2 linked regions of the Cricetulus griseus genome follow. The protein of the gene in region 2 interacts with the protein of the main gene of each other region in a pairwise test. Links are inferred from orthologs where the notes say so. Each region holds a gene or a part of one and is shown on either strand. Other genes may lie near its edges.

The links.
Region 1: the proteins of Homez (region 2) and Sh3rf2 interact in a two-hybrid assay, tested with the Homo sapiens proteins (2 studies listed by BioGRID). The two-hybrid records come from large-scale screens. The link is inferred for Cricetulus griseus from reciprocal best matches to the Homo sapiens genes HOMEZ and SH3RF2.

What each region holds. Positions count from the first base shown.
Region 1 is NC_048595.1:195,752,760-195,759,645, reverse strand, and holds part of Sh3rf2 (E3 ubiquitin-protein ligase SH3RF2), read left to right. Parts: intron 1-2,741; coding exon 2,742-3,100; intron 3,101-5,700; coding exon 5,701-5,976; 3' UTR 5,977-6,886. UniProt on the Homo sapiens protein: Has E3 ubiquitin-protein ligase activity. Acts as an anti-apoptotic regulator of the JNK pathway by ubiquitinating and promoting the degradation of SH3RF1, a scaffold protein that is required for pro-apoptotic JNK activation.
Region 2 is NW_023276807.1:210,068,994-210,077,151, forward strand, and holds the start of Homez (homeobox and leucine zipper protein Homez), read right to left. Parts: upstream 5,416-8,158; 5' UTR 5,242-5,415; coding exon 5,235-5,241; exon of another isoform or gene 2,938-5,234; intron 1-2,937. Other genes in the region: protein phosphatase 1 regulatory subunit 3E, read right to left, coding at 5,416-5,838, 5,924-6,340. UniProt on the Homo sapiens protein: May function as a transcriptional regulator.

The DNA.
Region 1 (6,886 bases), on a different chromosome or scaffold from region 2:
AACAGCTGATATTGCTGGCTCGGTGCTTCTCAGACTGTGTTCTGGAAACACCCGTTGAATGGGCAGGAGCTGGGGATAGAAGACAAGATTCTGAAGACAGTATTCAGAAAACCCCTGTTTTCTGCGATCTTGTTTATGAAATACATTCAGAGAAGTTCTTTCAAGTTATGCAAAAGTAAAACTCATATCCTGAACCCACCAGGTCCAAATTTTTCAAGACTGATAGATAGACACCTTCCAATCACACTCTGTGCACTGTTCCATGACTTTCTTGTTTCCCTATATAACATCCACACTGAGCACACAGCAGTACATGCAAATCTATAACTAATACCATGCTGTTGTTATTGACTCAATATATTAAACTTCTGCATGAGATCTCATGTGCAGGAATTCAGAAAAGATCTTGAAACATCATTGTACAAAACAAGAAGGATTCTTTCCTGTCACAATCCAAATGGGGGACAGATTATTTATTCTGTCTACATCTGTTCTACACCCGACTTAAAATTGGCCCTGCAGCTTCTCCTGCCATCTCAACAAACATTTAAACATGAGATAAAAACATGGCAGGTCGGATTAGCCCAAAGGGACAGTATGCCACAAGGGAAAGTCACTAGGAACAAAAAAGCAAGCGTCCTTATCCTTGTTCTAGTCTTTTCCATCTCACAACCTGCATAGCCTCTAACTGTACTAGTACCTCCTGTTTCAGCCATCAGCCCCTTCTTTTCTGCCCCCCCCCCACCGATTATTCACGATAACAGACTTGGACAAGTCACCATCGTCTTTATTTTCCTCATTTGTAAAATGGGAATAATAATACCCACCTCATCACCCTCCCTGTGTTATATAATGTTGGCATAGTATCCCTATCAGATATAATTAATGAGCTAACCATACCGTATCTAGCACATAACAAGCTCTTGAGAACATTTTTTTAAGTTATTTTCTTGGTAAAGTAATTTTAATTATTAGTAAATAAGCCACTTCATTGCTACTACAACTAAACAGATTGTCTTTGGTCCATACATATCATGAGCTTGTTTAGGACTGAAATAATCCCTCAGTCTAGACTGCTTACCCACGAAAAGACTTGCATTCCACTTATGATAGTTCACGTTTTTTGTTTTTTGTTTTTTGTTTTTGTTTTTGTTTTTAATACACTGCTTCTTCGTTGCTGTGTAACTCTTGGTTGACCTGGAGCTTTGACTGTTTGTGTTGTATGCACACGTGGTAAGACAGTATAAGAACTCTTGAAAATTGGAAACTGACCAGATAACCAGAGAGGCAAGAAGCTAAATTTCTGCCACATCCATGGGAGCCAAGGACATGTCTGCCTGGTGTGGTTTTGCCCTCCCTAGTTCCAGAAGCTTTCCTTTCTCCCTTTTTCGAAGGTGACAGGTCAAGCTGATGGTCTCTCCAAAGGCCCCTGTGTCAGGGGCTGTCAGTGGAAAACCTAAATGGAAAAGTCAGACTCAGCTAATGGCAACATGCTTGCAGTATCTGAAAATACACCTGGGCTCATTGTCCACAAAAACTTCCCGACTGGTGAAGGGTCACAACCACAACATAGTGTGGTTTGGCTCAGGCCCTCTAAGCTAGACACACTAAGCTAGGACTGATACAAACACATGTCCAAACCGGCAGTAGTGGCACACACCTTTAATCCCAGCAGTTGGGAGACAGAGGCAGGCAGATCTCGGTGAGTTCAAGGTCAGTCTGGTCTACACAGTGAGTTCCAGGACAGCCAGTGCTGTTACACAGAGAAACCCTGTCTCAAAAAAAGAAAAAAAAAAAAAGAGCCTTAAGAGCTGGGGAAAGCCCTTCATCATATGTGGTTCTTCAAATGCTTGGAGACCCTTTGAGAATGACCCACAGTGCTTCACAAGGGTAACCCCCAGTCTTTTATCCAGAGGCAAGGACCCATTCCCTTGATTACCTATAGAACTTATGCCTAAGGGATGGGACATCTTCCTTACAGCCTCTTAGCGGGGCACGTGGTTTTCATTAACTGAGGAGGGACTGTCTCAGTGAGGCCCAAACCCACACCATCAGACGTTTGCATTGCTAGGGCACACTGTGCTATTCTTCGAGAACAGTGATATCCAGCAAGCATCTGTGATTTTCAGGCACTGCCTGGCAGTTTATGTGCCTTGTAAGATGCAATCCACACCCTGTGTTGTGGTTGGGAACTGTCGCTGGGCTGGAAGTAAACACCAACAGTGAGTACAGGTGGTGTTCTCAGCTGCTGCCCCACCCCCACACTTAGTTTCTATTAACAATTTCTTCAGCAGGCAGACAGCAGCAGCATCCTCTCCCTCTTCAGCTTTCCTGCTCCGTTGTCTGCTCACTCTGATTCTCACTTTCTTCTTCCTCTTTGGCCTGTCTGCCTCTGTGTCTGCTTCTCACAGTGAAACCTTGTGTGTCTGTTTTCCTATCCATCCTAAAGGGCTAGAGGAAGGGAAAAGGTGGGGGAGAGAGGCACATAAATTGAAGCGGCATACCTTCAGACACTTCTCATAGCATTCAGCTAGACATTTACCTCCTGCCAGCAACAGCAAATAGCACTAAAGAAAACAATGGGTCACCTTTGAAAGACCCCAGGAGAGCAAGTGTGAGCACAGTCTCATTAGGAAAGCCCTTACCTATCTATTCTGGGATATCAGACACATTGTATACCCAGCCTGCATGCCACCTGCTGTCAGCCATCCTATTGCTGATATTGTTCTGTCATCCCCCAGATGGATCCTTGCAGAGACCAGTCCAGTCAGGGATCCCCACTTTCATGTTGGGATCCCTCAGGCACAGTCCCACCATGATGATCGGGCCTCAGAAGTTCCATTTCTACCAGCCACAGGGAATGGCCTCTTCCCCTCCACCCATGATGGTGGAGATGGGGTCTAAACCCATTTCCACTGGGGAGCCTGCCCTGACCTGCATCAGCAGAGGCAGCAAGACCAGGATCCATTCAGCATCCAGTTCCTTCATCATGGAAGGCAAAGAAATACCCATCAAGAGTGAGCCACCATCCAAGCCACCTGCGTCTGCCCCACCCTCCATCCTAGTGAAACCAGAAAACTCAAAAAATGGCATCGAAAAGGTAGGAATGGAGTGACATTGGGAGTCTGACTGTTCAGCCTCCTGGTGTTGACTGTGCACTGTCAACATTGCCAACCGCACTGGCAGCCTCCAATAAAATCTTCACACACAGCCGGGAGTTGGTGGTGCACACCTTTAATCTCAGCACTCGGGAGGCAGAGGCAGGTGGATCTCTGTGAGTTCGAGGCCAGCCTGGTCTATAGAGCGAGTGCCAAGATAGGCTCCAAAGCTACACAGAGAAACCCTGTCTCAAAAAACCAAAAAAATAAATCTTCACACACAGCACACCCCACCCCATTCACACCAAGAACACCTTCTCCCTGATAAACATACTCCTCATTCCCTTTATATATGCTTCTTCTGTGATCCAGAAACAGCCTGGAGAAAACATGGTTTGGTTTGAATCACTGCTCTGGTTAGGTGGCTCTGGCCAAAACACTTCACCCTTCTGGGGCTGTGTTTATTCATTCATTACTTACTTATTTGCCTGATCCATAGAAATAGTAATATAGGGTCTAGAGAGATAGCTCAGACATTAAGAGGACTTACTGCTCTTAGTGAGGACATGGCTTCAGTTCCTAGCAACCCCCTGGTGACTCACAACCACCCACGACTCCAGTTCCAGATTTGATGCCTTCCTCTGACCTCTGCAGAGACACTCATGGTGCACATACAGACATGCAAGCAAAACACACCTGTATACATAAAATAAGCCTAAAAATGTTAGGTAAATAATAATAATGGCCATTCATGGCCTTGGAGATGACATTGTGTAAGCTATGTGCAGTATTTACACAGGGCTTGATACATTTTTTTTTTTATCAAATGACAGCAACAACTAAGACAAGGGAGAATTTAAATGACATCAAAGTCACGTGGAATGATAATTCTAACAGCTGACTTATTATGTCATCAATCAGACCTGTTAACATCTGGTCTGGAGATTTTTGTGCTAGAAGACATGGATTTTTCTAAGGTCCTTGAAGCAAGAGAGATGACATTAAGGAATCAGGTGATGTTCATCATAATCCTTCAGTTTACTGAGCATCACCACACTCGCCAATCGTCTTCCCCTCACCACCACCCTCACTACCATCTCACCATCACCCACTCTCTACAAAACGGATGGGATGGAGTTTCCTCCTATTTGTTATGCTTTTACTAACTACTAAATATGCTAACAGACACCCTGCACAGAACTCCATGTGTTCCATCTCATTAAACCCCTATAACAACCCTCTGAACTAGGTATTATTTTCATCATCATTTAGAATGAGGAAGCAGAAGCTTGGGGAGTTAAACACATTGCCCAAAGTCATGCAGCTGACATCTGTATCTGACACAAAAGCCCAGGTTTTTCCTCTAAGCTTGTATGGAAATGCATTTGGAAAAGTTTATGGTGACTGACAGAAAGGTTGGCGTGTTCATTCTAACTTCCAACTTTCATACAATCTAAAGGATCCTACACCCCAGCTGTCCAATATCCCAAGTTATCAGACACAGCCCCCCAACTCTGAAGTCCCAAGATCCTGCTGCAATCAATAAAAATCAGAAAGTAGGGGAAACTAGGAGACAAAGAGGAGAGAATTTCATGGAACAAAGAAGTTCCAGAAGTACCACAGAAAGAACATTTTATTAAGCCCTGAGACAGTGACTGGCTAAAACAAACACCTTCAATTGCCAAGCAAAATACATACCCACCTAGGAGACATGAGAGGAAGAAAAGTGAGATGGGGCTTCTAACAAAGTGGAGACACAGTCTCATACAAAGGAAGCTACTCCTCAGCTCAGCCAGGTGGTGCCAGTATTGATATAGGCCCAGAGTTCCAGATCATAGATTATTTTGGATGTTTGCATTTAAGTTTTATTTTAGTTTTGAGACAGATTTTTCACTATATAGTTCAAACTGGCCTCAAACTCCCAATCCCCCTGTCTCAGCCTCCAAATGCCTATGCTATCACACTTGACTCTGAATCTTCCATATTTTAAAGATACGCATGCAATGCTGGTTGCTCTGTATATTTGTCTTGTGGTCTTGTGTATGGGGAAGTCAGTCAATGCTCAAAGGATGCATGGCAACAGCAGATACTCAGGGAACCAGCTCTATGATGAGCATTTCTAAGGTGATGATAGTGAGCTCAAAGAGGGGGTCATCAGGAGAACTCATGAGAAAGAGCCAGCCTTGAGATAGACCTTAAGGAAATGCAGAGGGAAGAGGTGAAAGGTGAACCTGTATTTTCCACTGCTGACTCTATTTTTCCCAAATTATTCATCCTTATTCTCAAATCCTTCTGCCTCAAGAAAGGTTTGCCTGGCTACCTATTAGATGCTACTCCACTGCCTCAGCAGGTTACTCTTCTCCCATCACAGCACTGACTTTAATTTCTCATTGGACAGTGTGGGTTTGTTTGATCTCTGATCCACAGCACCTCACAGGGTATATTACATAATGCACAGAAGACACAAATGCTTGCTGAATGAACACCACCTAAATGAGGCATTTTGAGTGGTGACAACCGTAGAGAAAGGACACAAATCTTATCAAGGGGTAGAGGGCAGAGTACACATCTCACCCACAGTCCTTTGCTTTCTATTTTACAGCAAGTCAAAACCGTGAGATTTCAGAATTACAGCCCTCCTCCCACCAAACATTATGCCTCCCACCCCACCTCTGGAAAGCACGAACAGCCATCCACCTTGAAGGGGTCTCAGTCTGAAGCAATCCCCTCAGGAGCAGAGATGACCATCCTATTTGCCCACCGAAGTGGCTGCCACTCTGGACAACAGACAGACCTTCGGAGAAAGTCAGCTTTTGGCAAGACCATGCCCCCACTCTCCACCACTTCAGGCTCACAGACCATTTTTACCAGTCAGTGATTCTTTGGATGGCTTTTCTTAGACACAAAAGAGGTGAATAGCATGTAAATACAGTCTGCCTCCACTACAGGCATCCTACTGTTCTTCCAAAGGATTAGACTCCTTCATCTCCAAGCTTAACCTGAAAAAATGGAAAGGCAGAAACTCCTCCCTGGGTTGGTTGGCCTTCTCCATACATATACCCCCAATCCACCCCACCCCTGAGACAGGGTGTAGCCCTGACTGTCCTGGAACTCACTCTATAGACCAAGCTGGCCTTGAACTCACAGAGATCTGCCTGCCTCTGCCTCCCAATTGCTGGAATTAAAGGTGTATGCCACCACCACCCAGCATATTTCTAAACTTACTGATTTGATAGAGTCAAGCCCACTGCTTAAGCCAAAGAATGGGGACAGTGTCAATGCCTGTGCCCTCTGCATGCAGGGTTTGGCCTCTCATCCTATGTGCTCAATGTAAAACATCTCTGTATCCTAGGACAGCCAGAGTATGGCAGCAGTGACATTTTTCTCAGGGACTCTTTGATCCCATTACCATCCCCCTCTCTTTTCATCACACTACAACAGCCTCTGCCATCTTCTGAGGCTGTTGGTTTTCATTCCAACGTCAAGCTCCAGCTGCAAAGGGAGAAATGGGAGGCGAAGATATGGTATGAGATGGACATTTTGAACATTCGGAGAACCCACTAAAACTTAAGGGAGTTAACTTCCTGAGTTCGCTACAAACAAGGTCGTCGAGAATACTGACTACCAAATACCAAAAGATTATCATGTGTTACGCTTCTTGGCCTGTTTCTTCCCATATAATTCTATACAGTAGATAAGCAGGGAGCATAGAGAGGCAGATAAGGGACGTGGATGATATTATAGACTTTTCATCCTTCCCCTCAAAGCTTGAAGGCAACCTTGAATGC
Region 2 (8,158 bases):
CCTTCTCACTTCCGGATTTGTGTTCTCTGGGAAGGAAGTGAACCCAAAGATCTCTGTAGACATGCCTTTTGTGTTTCTGGTTGTGTGTGACTGGCAAGCATCCAGAAGAGCCTCCAACAAATACAAGCTAGAAGCAAAAACATAGAAGTTGGAAATTGAAGAGTTAGGGCTCATTATAAAAGAAATGGGCAATCGTGTTAAAAAGCAGCTTGGCACAGTAGCACAGCAATCCTAGCCCTCGGGAGGATAAGCAGGAGCATTACACATTTGACATCAGGCTGGGCTGTGGCTGCCCTGCACCACCACTAAGTCTGAGTATCGAGAAACAGGAGGTACCTGTGGTTATGCTGGAAAACAATTCATAGAGACCCCGTGGGGTCTGGGTCCCAACACTGGGCTAAGCAATAGAACCATGTTTCAAGTCAAAATATCAGAGAGGAAAGGGAGAATGAAAGAAGGGCCAGGAAAAGGTGCCAAGAGCTTCTGGTTGCAAAGGGCCAGGAGGGTATACAGGGGTGACAACTAGTGTTCAGCAGGCTGACCCACCAGATGAGTAATGGAGCAAGGCTGTGGTATCACTGGCTGTAGATAATTGTGTCTGTCTGTAATTTCTCCCACGAGCCACTTCATTTCTTCCCTAAGAACTGCTAAGCATGTTTTCCCATTGCTTGTGTGTTTATCCCATGTATATATTCCATCTATTTGTGCACACATACAGCTGTGGATAGTCAGGAAGATGATTTCTGCTTAAGCTGTATAATTTTGATGAATAGAATTAACAGTAGGATTATTTTTCATTACTTAGACTGACATAGGATTCTCAGGCATAAAGACAGCCTTTTACACAGACAGCTAATTTTAGATTCCTGAACAAATTCAAAGCAAACTAGTTGCCCCTACATGAAGTCATTTTCCCAGGTGTTTTGCTAACTCAAGGTCAGAGCTCAAAGTAACTTTAGTAGACATAAATGGACTTTCTGCTTGTACTCCCTACCATTCAAGGTTTAGCTAATTAACTATTATTGTTCAAGTATTGAATTCCAGTGTCATTTTCTGTTTGGGAAAGAGCTATGTCCATGGCCACGGGTTACTCACTGGCCTGCCAATGTGACCCCTCTAGGAGAAACTCTGTGACTTATCTTGTGTTATGAGAATGGGTCAGGCCCTGAAAACGTAACATATAACCTATCATTCAGAGTTTGGCTGTGGGAGAGAAGGGTGTAGAAAGAGATATGAGAAGGGTTACAGAGCTAATTAGGAAGCTGTGAAGAGAGATTTTTCAGAGAGAATTTTTCAAGATGAAGTAAGTTATCACCAGAAAGTGTCTGTGTTTTCTTATTTTTCCCCTCAGAAAAAGTCTAACCCTCAGATAGGTAAGAATTTTCCTAAGCCCTCACTACTCTGAGGTTTACTCTTGCGACCCTGGAGCAGATCTGGGAGCTGGCCTTTCAGGCTATGGTAAGGAGAGCTACCAGACAGGTAGGTGTAGGATGCTTTCTGAAGTCAAAGGGACTTTGCTGGTATTTCTGCTGGGATTCGTCAAGGACAGTAGTGTTCTCTTGTGGCACTTTCCAGTGCATGGGAACCACAGAGAGAGTCTCCACCAGAGCACCTTAATCTGAGCAAATACTAATAACTATTTCCCATGTCTGGCTGGACTAAGACAGCAAGGGGGTGGGAGTAGACGGCTGTAGCTCTGCTCTCCCTGGGCACACTCCTCTTTGCTTACTGGCACTGCAAGAAGTGTAGGTGAATCTTGGAAAGAACGGTGTCAACAAAGAAAGGAGTCTCACTTTTTTTTGGTGGTAGAATTTATGATTTTGCTACACTAGTCCACTTACAAGGTAAGGAAATGCCAGAGACAGGGAGAATCTTGAACTCATGTACCAGGAAAGCGACATCTGAACAGGAAAGTCTTTTGGGAATCTCAAAGGGACTAGGCACACAAATAACACACAAGACAACACATAATAGCCCCTCTCCCCCGTTTTACAAGGTTTGTGGTACAGTGATAGCTTAGTTGGTTGTGGGTTCCAAGAATGAGGCACCTATTATTTGTGTGCACAAGGAGGTAGCTCAGTCCAGGTCATCCAACCTTGGGGACTAGAGAAAAGTATCCACTTATTCTTAAGTGTGTAGCAGCTCAGTAAAGAACCAGAAAATGCTGGGTGTTGGTGGCGCACACCATTAATCCCAGCACTTAGGAGGCAGAGGCTGGTGGATCTCTGTGAGTTTGAAGCCAGCCTACTCTACAGAGTCAGTTCCAGGACAGCTATGGGTGTTACACAGAGAAACCCTGTCTCAAACAAAACAAAACAAAAACAAATAAAAAACAACCAAAGCAAAGAACCCAGAAGACTCCTATTCATCCAGATGTCCCCTCCCAAGCTCACATTTACCTAATTGATAATACCAGGGGTTCCAGAGAGGAAGCCCAGCAAAGACCACCTAGCAGTTGTCCTAAGCCAGGAACCTTTCTCAAGGAACATCAGAGTTTACCTGGTCATGCAAGAAAAAAAAAAATCTGGGCAGTGGTGGTACATGTCTTTAGTCCCAGCAGGCAGGGGGATCTCTGAGTTTGAGGCCAGCCTAGACTACAGAGCCTGGACTACAGAGCGAGTTCTAGGACAGGCTCCAAGACACAGAGAAACCCTGTCTCAAAAAACCTAAATAAATAATGTACCTAGTCAAGGATAATGGAGGGAGAGGAAGGAAAGATGCCACGCCAGGTGGTATAGCGGGTTGGCCAGAGCCAGGAGAGAACCCAGTGTATGGAAAGCTGGCATTTACATTGGTTCCCGAGTTCTCTAGCAGGCTCATGGGCTAGTGCCTTTCTGACCCTGTAGAACTGGAATGCTGGCACAGGAGAAGGTGGGGTAAAAGTCTGGGCCCCTTGGAGGACAGGAAGGCACAGCATAATGAATGATGGTCTTTCCCTATGATAGAGGATATATAGCAAAGTTTTTAATTTTGTTCTTAATCAAAGAAAAATACATACCACCATGATTACCCACACAGACTATGGGAACCTCCTGGGCTCACAATCCCATACTCTTGAACAAATTACTGAGTCTGGACTTATTTCTAAAAGAGATAATGCTCAAGTCACAGTGCTGTTTTAAACATGCATGTCACACATTTAGCACACAAGTTAAATAGGATCTGTTAAGAAGTAACAGTCACACACACACACACACACACACACACACACACACACACACACACACTAGGAATGATGCCACCACAATGGAACCTCCACCCAGTCTCCCTGGGTTCCTTGTTGAAGATTAGAGAGTGACCAGAGTTTGGTGGTTTCCAGTACAGTGCCTCCTGCGACTTTGCTGAACCTGAAGGTGATCCCCAGGAAACATCAAACTGTTTTCTGTACAAGGTCAGAAGATGCTTAGATGTGAATGTTTGATGAATGACTGCAGGGGCAAAGGGACAAGCCCCAAACTGAATTCTGAATGATGTGTGGGTACCTGGCAGGGAAGAGGTGGAGTGAGAAACTGGCTGTGGACAGGGATTTCTCAAGGGAAAGGGGATGCCCCGTAGAGACCAACAAGGGTGAAGAGTGGAAATAAAGGCAAAAGTCCTACATGTTCAAAGAAACAAGTGAGGGGGCTGGAGAGATGGCTCAGAGGTTAAGAGCACTGGCTGCTCTTCCAGAGGTCCCGAGTTCAATTCCCAGCAACTACATGGTGGCTCACAACCATCTGTAATGAGATCTGGTGACCTCTTCTGGCCTGTAAGCAAACATGCAGGCAGAACACTGCATACACAATAAATGAATAAATCTTAAAAAAGAAAGAAGGGAAAGGGAAAGACAAGGAAAGGAAAAACAACCAGCAAAACCCAACTCTCACCTGGAGCCTCCCTAGGAAGGGCATGAGGTGTGAATGTGGGCATTGCATTAGGCTCCAGGTTCTCCATTTCATTGACTTGGATATGGATCAAACTGTCACCTCTGCCTTCATTTTTTGTTTTCTATTTCTTATACCCATGACCTCCAGAGTTCCAACTGTTCCATTCTGGGGCTACCATGCATCACTTTCCCTAACAGTAATACTGGTCTCCGTTTTCTCACGGGACTGGGGCTCTAAGTCTGTGGAAGTTAAGAGCAAATGGCACAGGGTGAGCTGTGGCGTGGAACACACTGAGGCTATGGGCTGCTTATGGGCTGTATCCTGGATCATCTGTGCCCCACTCCCAAAAAGTGGTGTGTGTGTGGGGGAGACTATCCTCATCTCCAACCACAGACTCACTGTGCTAGGTAAGCCTTGCTGCTGCTTTTAATTTTCTGAGACAGTCTCATGTAGCCCAGGATAGATTAAATAATCAATCATATTAGCTGGCTGGCCTCAAACTCAACAGTCTCCCTGTGTGTGTCACAACACCTGGCTTGCCCTGTGGGCTTTAATTGTAGCACTAGATTGGAGAATACAGTTTCTAACCTATACTGTGCCATGAACAGATCATGAGACACCAAAATGTAGCCCTAAAAACATAGTGGCTCACACCAATAACCCCAGCACAGCAGGGGCTAGGGCAGGAGACCCTGGGCTAGAGACCCTGTCCAGAAAAAAAAAAAAAAAGGAACCTTAAGGGACCACCTAACTCAAATCCAATTTCTCACAGAGGAACCTGGAGTCCAAAAAGATAAAATAACCTGCTCAATCATACAGATACTTGGTGGTTTCCTCTTCTTTCAGAGGCACAAAGAATAAATCAGTAGTGATTTTCATGATTCACTGTCCCTCCGCAGACAGTCCACAAAGTGCTTCAAGGTTTTAAGAGGCACCCAGAAAAGTAAGGCTGGCATTCATTTTTCTGGAAGCCTGATTATGCAAACCCCTTAGATGCCCCATTATTTGACTACAAGGGCAGGCTTGGAGTTGGTTTTGCCACCATCTGCAGATGCCACCAAGGCTCGCCCCGTGGCTGAAGGACTCTCTCCCATGTTTCCTTGAAGACTGAAGCCAGGAACTGCTGAGAGTCAAGGGAATGCTGTCACACTGCCAGGGCCCAGGGGCAATGGTCAAATTCCTGGGGTTAAGCAAGGCAATTTCGGCTCAGATAAAGCTAGGGTGGGCAGGGCACGGGGACCTGAGGTGGTAGGGCCAGTGAGAGGGAAGCAAACCGAATGACTTCACTGGGCTTCCTAGCCCAAGGAGGCTTCACTTTCCAGAGCCCTTCTGGGCCTCTTATCTCGAGTTCCTTCCGCTTACACCTACCTGCCATTTTCCACCCTAATCTCTTGAGTTTCACAGACGGTTTCCAGCCACCTCGACTTGACTCTCTGGGACCGCCCTCCACCCATCTGCCAATTGTGGTTCCCGGGTTCCTGGCGCCACAGTCTCCCCCCACGCCTGGGTGCCACTGTTTTGTCCCTGCTGTGGCCAGCAGGAGCCTAGTTCAAATAAAATGGATCCAGCCCTGGGGCTCCGCGGCTCCGGCACCACCAGGGTGCTCGGGCCCAAGCAGCGCGTAGTCCCGGCCACCGTTGTTGTCCCAGAACTCGCGGCCGGTCACGCGGTAGCGCAGGGCGAAGAGCAGGGCGCCGCCGACCGGAGGCGCCGGCAGGCGGAAGGAGAAGCGGTCAGCCCGCGGCGGGGCCGGGGCAGGGCCGGCGTAGGCGGCGGGCGACTCCCGCAGGCTGCGCCAGCCGTCCGCGCTCCAGCGCACGCTCACGCGCTTCTCGTAGGCCAGGTCCAGCACGCGCGCGCTCCCGGCCACGCCCAGCGGGCCCGCGTCGGCGCGCTCCAGGCAGATGCGCTGCGCCTGCAGGCGGGCGGCGAAGCCGGGCTCCAGGGCGGGCTCCAGGGCCACGCGCGCCTCCTGAGGAGAGAGGGCGGGGAGGCGGGTCAGAGGAGGGCTTGGAGCGCGGAGGCCGAGGTCCCGGGGACGGGGGCGGGGCGCCTACCTGGAGGCCGCGGGCGCGCGGCGGGCACGGCGCGAAGTGGCGCAGGGCGTCCCTCTGCAGTTGCACCTGCACGTGGCGGGGCACCCGGGGCGGCTCCCCCGGGCGGAAGCGGCGGACCACGACCAGCTCTAGCCCCAGCGCGTCAGCGAAACGCACTCTCTTGCGAGTGTCAGGGCTGCGGCTGCGGGCTGCCCGCGCCCCGCCGCCACCTGCGGGCGCAGAGCGGGCCCTGCGCCCCCGACCCGGAACGTGAGCCCGCGAGCGGGCGCCGGGCCGGGTCCCGCCCTCCCCCGGCTCCTCCTCCGACTCCTCCTCGAGGCTGGGCCGCTGGCTGCGGTAGTAGGCACGTTCGGTCAGCGCTGCTATAAAGCTCAGGTTGCGAGGGATGTCGGTGCGCGGAGGCCGCTCGCGGGACATGGCACCCCTGCGCCCCAGCGGGGCCGGCGCACAGTGCCCGCCCGGCGCGTCCTCACTCGGCCACCCGCTCCGCGTCCGCGCATAGGGCGGAAGGCTGCTTCGGCAGCTGCTAGCCCTGGACTCGCCTTCTTGCTGTCACCTCGCGTTCTTGGCCTGGCGGGTTTCCTTGACCACCTTTCCCTGCCTTTGGCGGTCAACCCCACTGTCTTCTAAGACTGTCGGTCCTGCCGGCTTCCCGCTGTCTGCTCTGAGCGTGCGCTCAACGGCGCTCTCCCTTCGGTTCTGCGGGCCTCGCTGACCCGGCCCCCGCCCACAGCCCTCTGACAGGTGGCTCGGCATCTATCTTCCCTGCTGCACCAGGGGGCGGGACTGACTCCACCCTCGGGGTCCCAAATGAGTAACTCCAGTATGAGAAGGGTTAAAGCGGGGAGGAAAGAGTAATCCTTCATTTTCTTGCATGGAAAGTTCAAAATGCCGAGAGGCTAATTCTCTTCCCCAGAGCTCAGTGTTTTCTTAAACCCAGGCTACAGGTTTGGGATAGAGGTGAAGATGGGCGTAGTGAAAAGAAAGGCCGCGAATCCTAGGTTAAGTCTTCCGAGTGGAAAACGCCAAAGGACGAGCGGTGGACACAAGACTGGCTATTTTCCAGTTTCATTTTTGAAAAACAAGCTAGTGACAATTTTACAGTGGTATGTAAAATGTGTTCTAACTTCTCTACTGATCTTTTTTATTTTCAAAGATTTGCTTCATTTTTTAAATTACGTGTATGGTGTCCGGCTTTATGTATACAGGAGTGCAGGTGCCCACAGGGGCCAGAGGGGACATTAGATACCGTGGAGCTGGAATTACAGGTGCATGTGAGCTGCTAGAAGTGGGCGCTGAGAATCCACTAGGGTCCTCTAGAAGGGTGCTATGTGCTCTTAACTGCTGCCCCATCTCCCCTGCTCTCTACAGAGGTTTACAACACAAAACACTAGGCATGATTACAGTAATTGTTAACATATTACAGAGAGAAAGTTGAGAGATGGGGAGGGAGGGAAAACATCTTGCCCGGTGTCACATAGTTACTAATTGTGGGGCTAGGTTCTCTTAGTCATTTAGTTCTTATACATTAAAACAGATAATGACGATACTAGTATTTTCATTAAATGATAATGTTGACATCTAATATAAAAGTGGAAGTTACGGAGCTGAAAAAATGGCTCAGTGCTAAGAACATGCACTGCTCCACGGGATCTGCTGCCCCCTTCTGGCCTCCAAGGCCACCTGCACTCACGTAAGCATAGACCCTACGTGGACACAAACAACCACATAATAAAATAAAAAAATACGTATTTTTAAATGAAATGGGCTGGGCATGGCGACTCACACCTTTAATCCCAGCAGAAGCAGGCAGATCTCTAAGTTTTGGGCCAACCTGGTCTACAGAATGAGTTCCAGGACAGCCAGGGCTACACTGAGAAACCCTATCTTAAAAACCTAAAATAAAGCCATGTGTGGTGGCACACACCTTTAATTCCAACACTAAGGAGGCAGAGGCAGACAGATCTATGTGAGTTTGAGGCCAGCCTGGTCTACAAAGTGAGTTCCAGGGCAGGCAGGGCTGTTACACAGAGAACCCTTGTCTGGAAGTAGGAAGGAAGGAAGGAAGGAAGGAAAGAAAGAACTAAATAAATAATAAAAGAGGCCAGGAATAGTGATGCATATGTATGCCTTTAATCCTAGCAGTCAGGAGGCAGAGGCAAGTAGCCTGGTCTATATAGTGAGTTCCAGGACAGCCATAACTATGTAGACAGACCCTGTCTCAAAAAAAAAAAA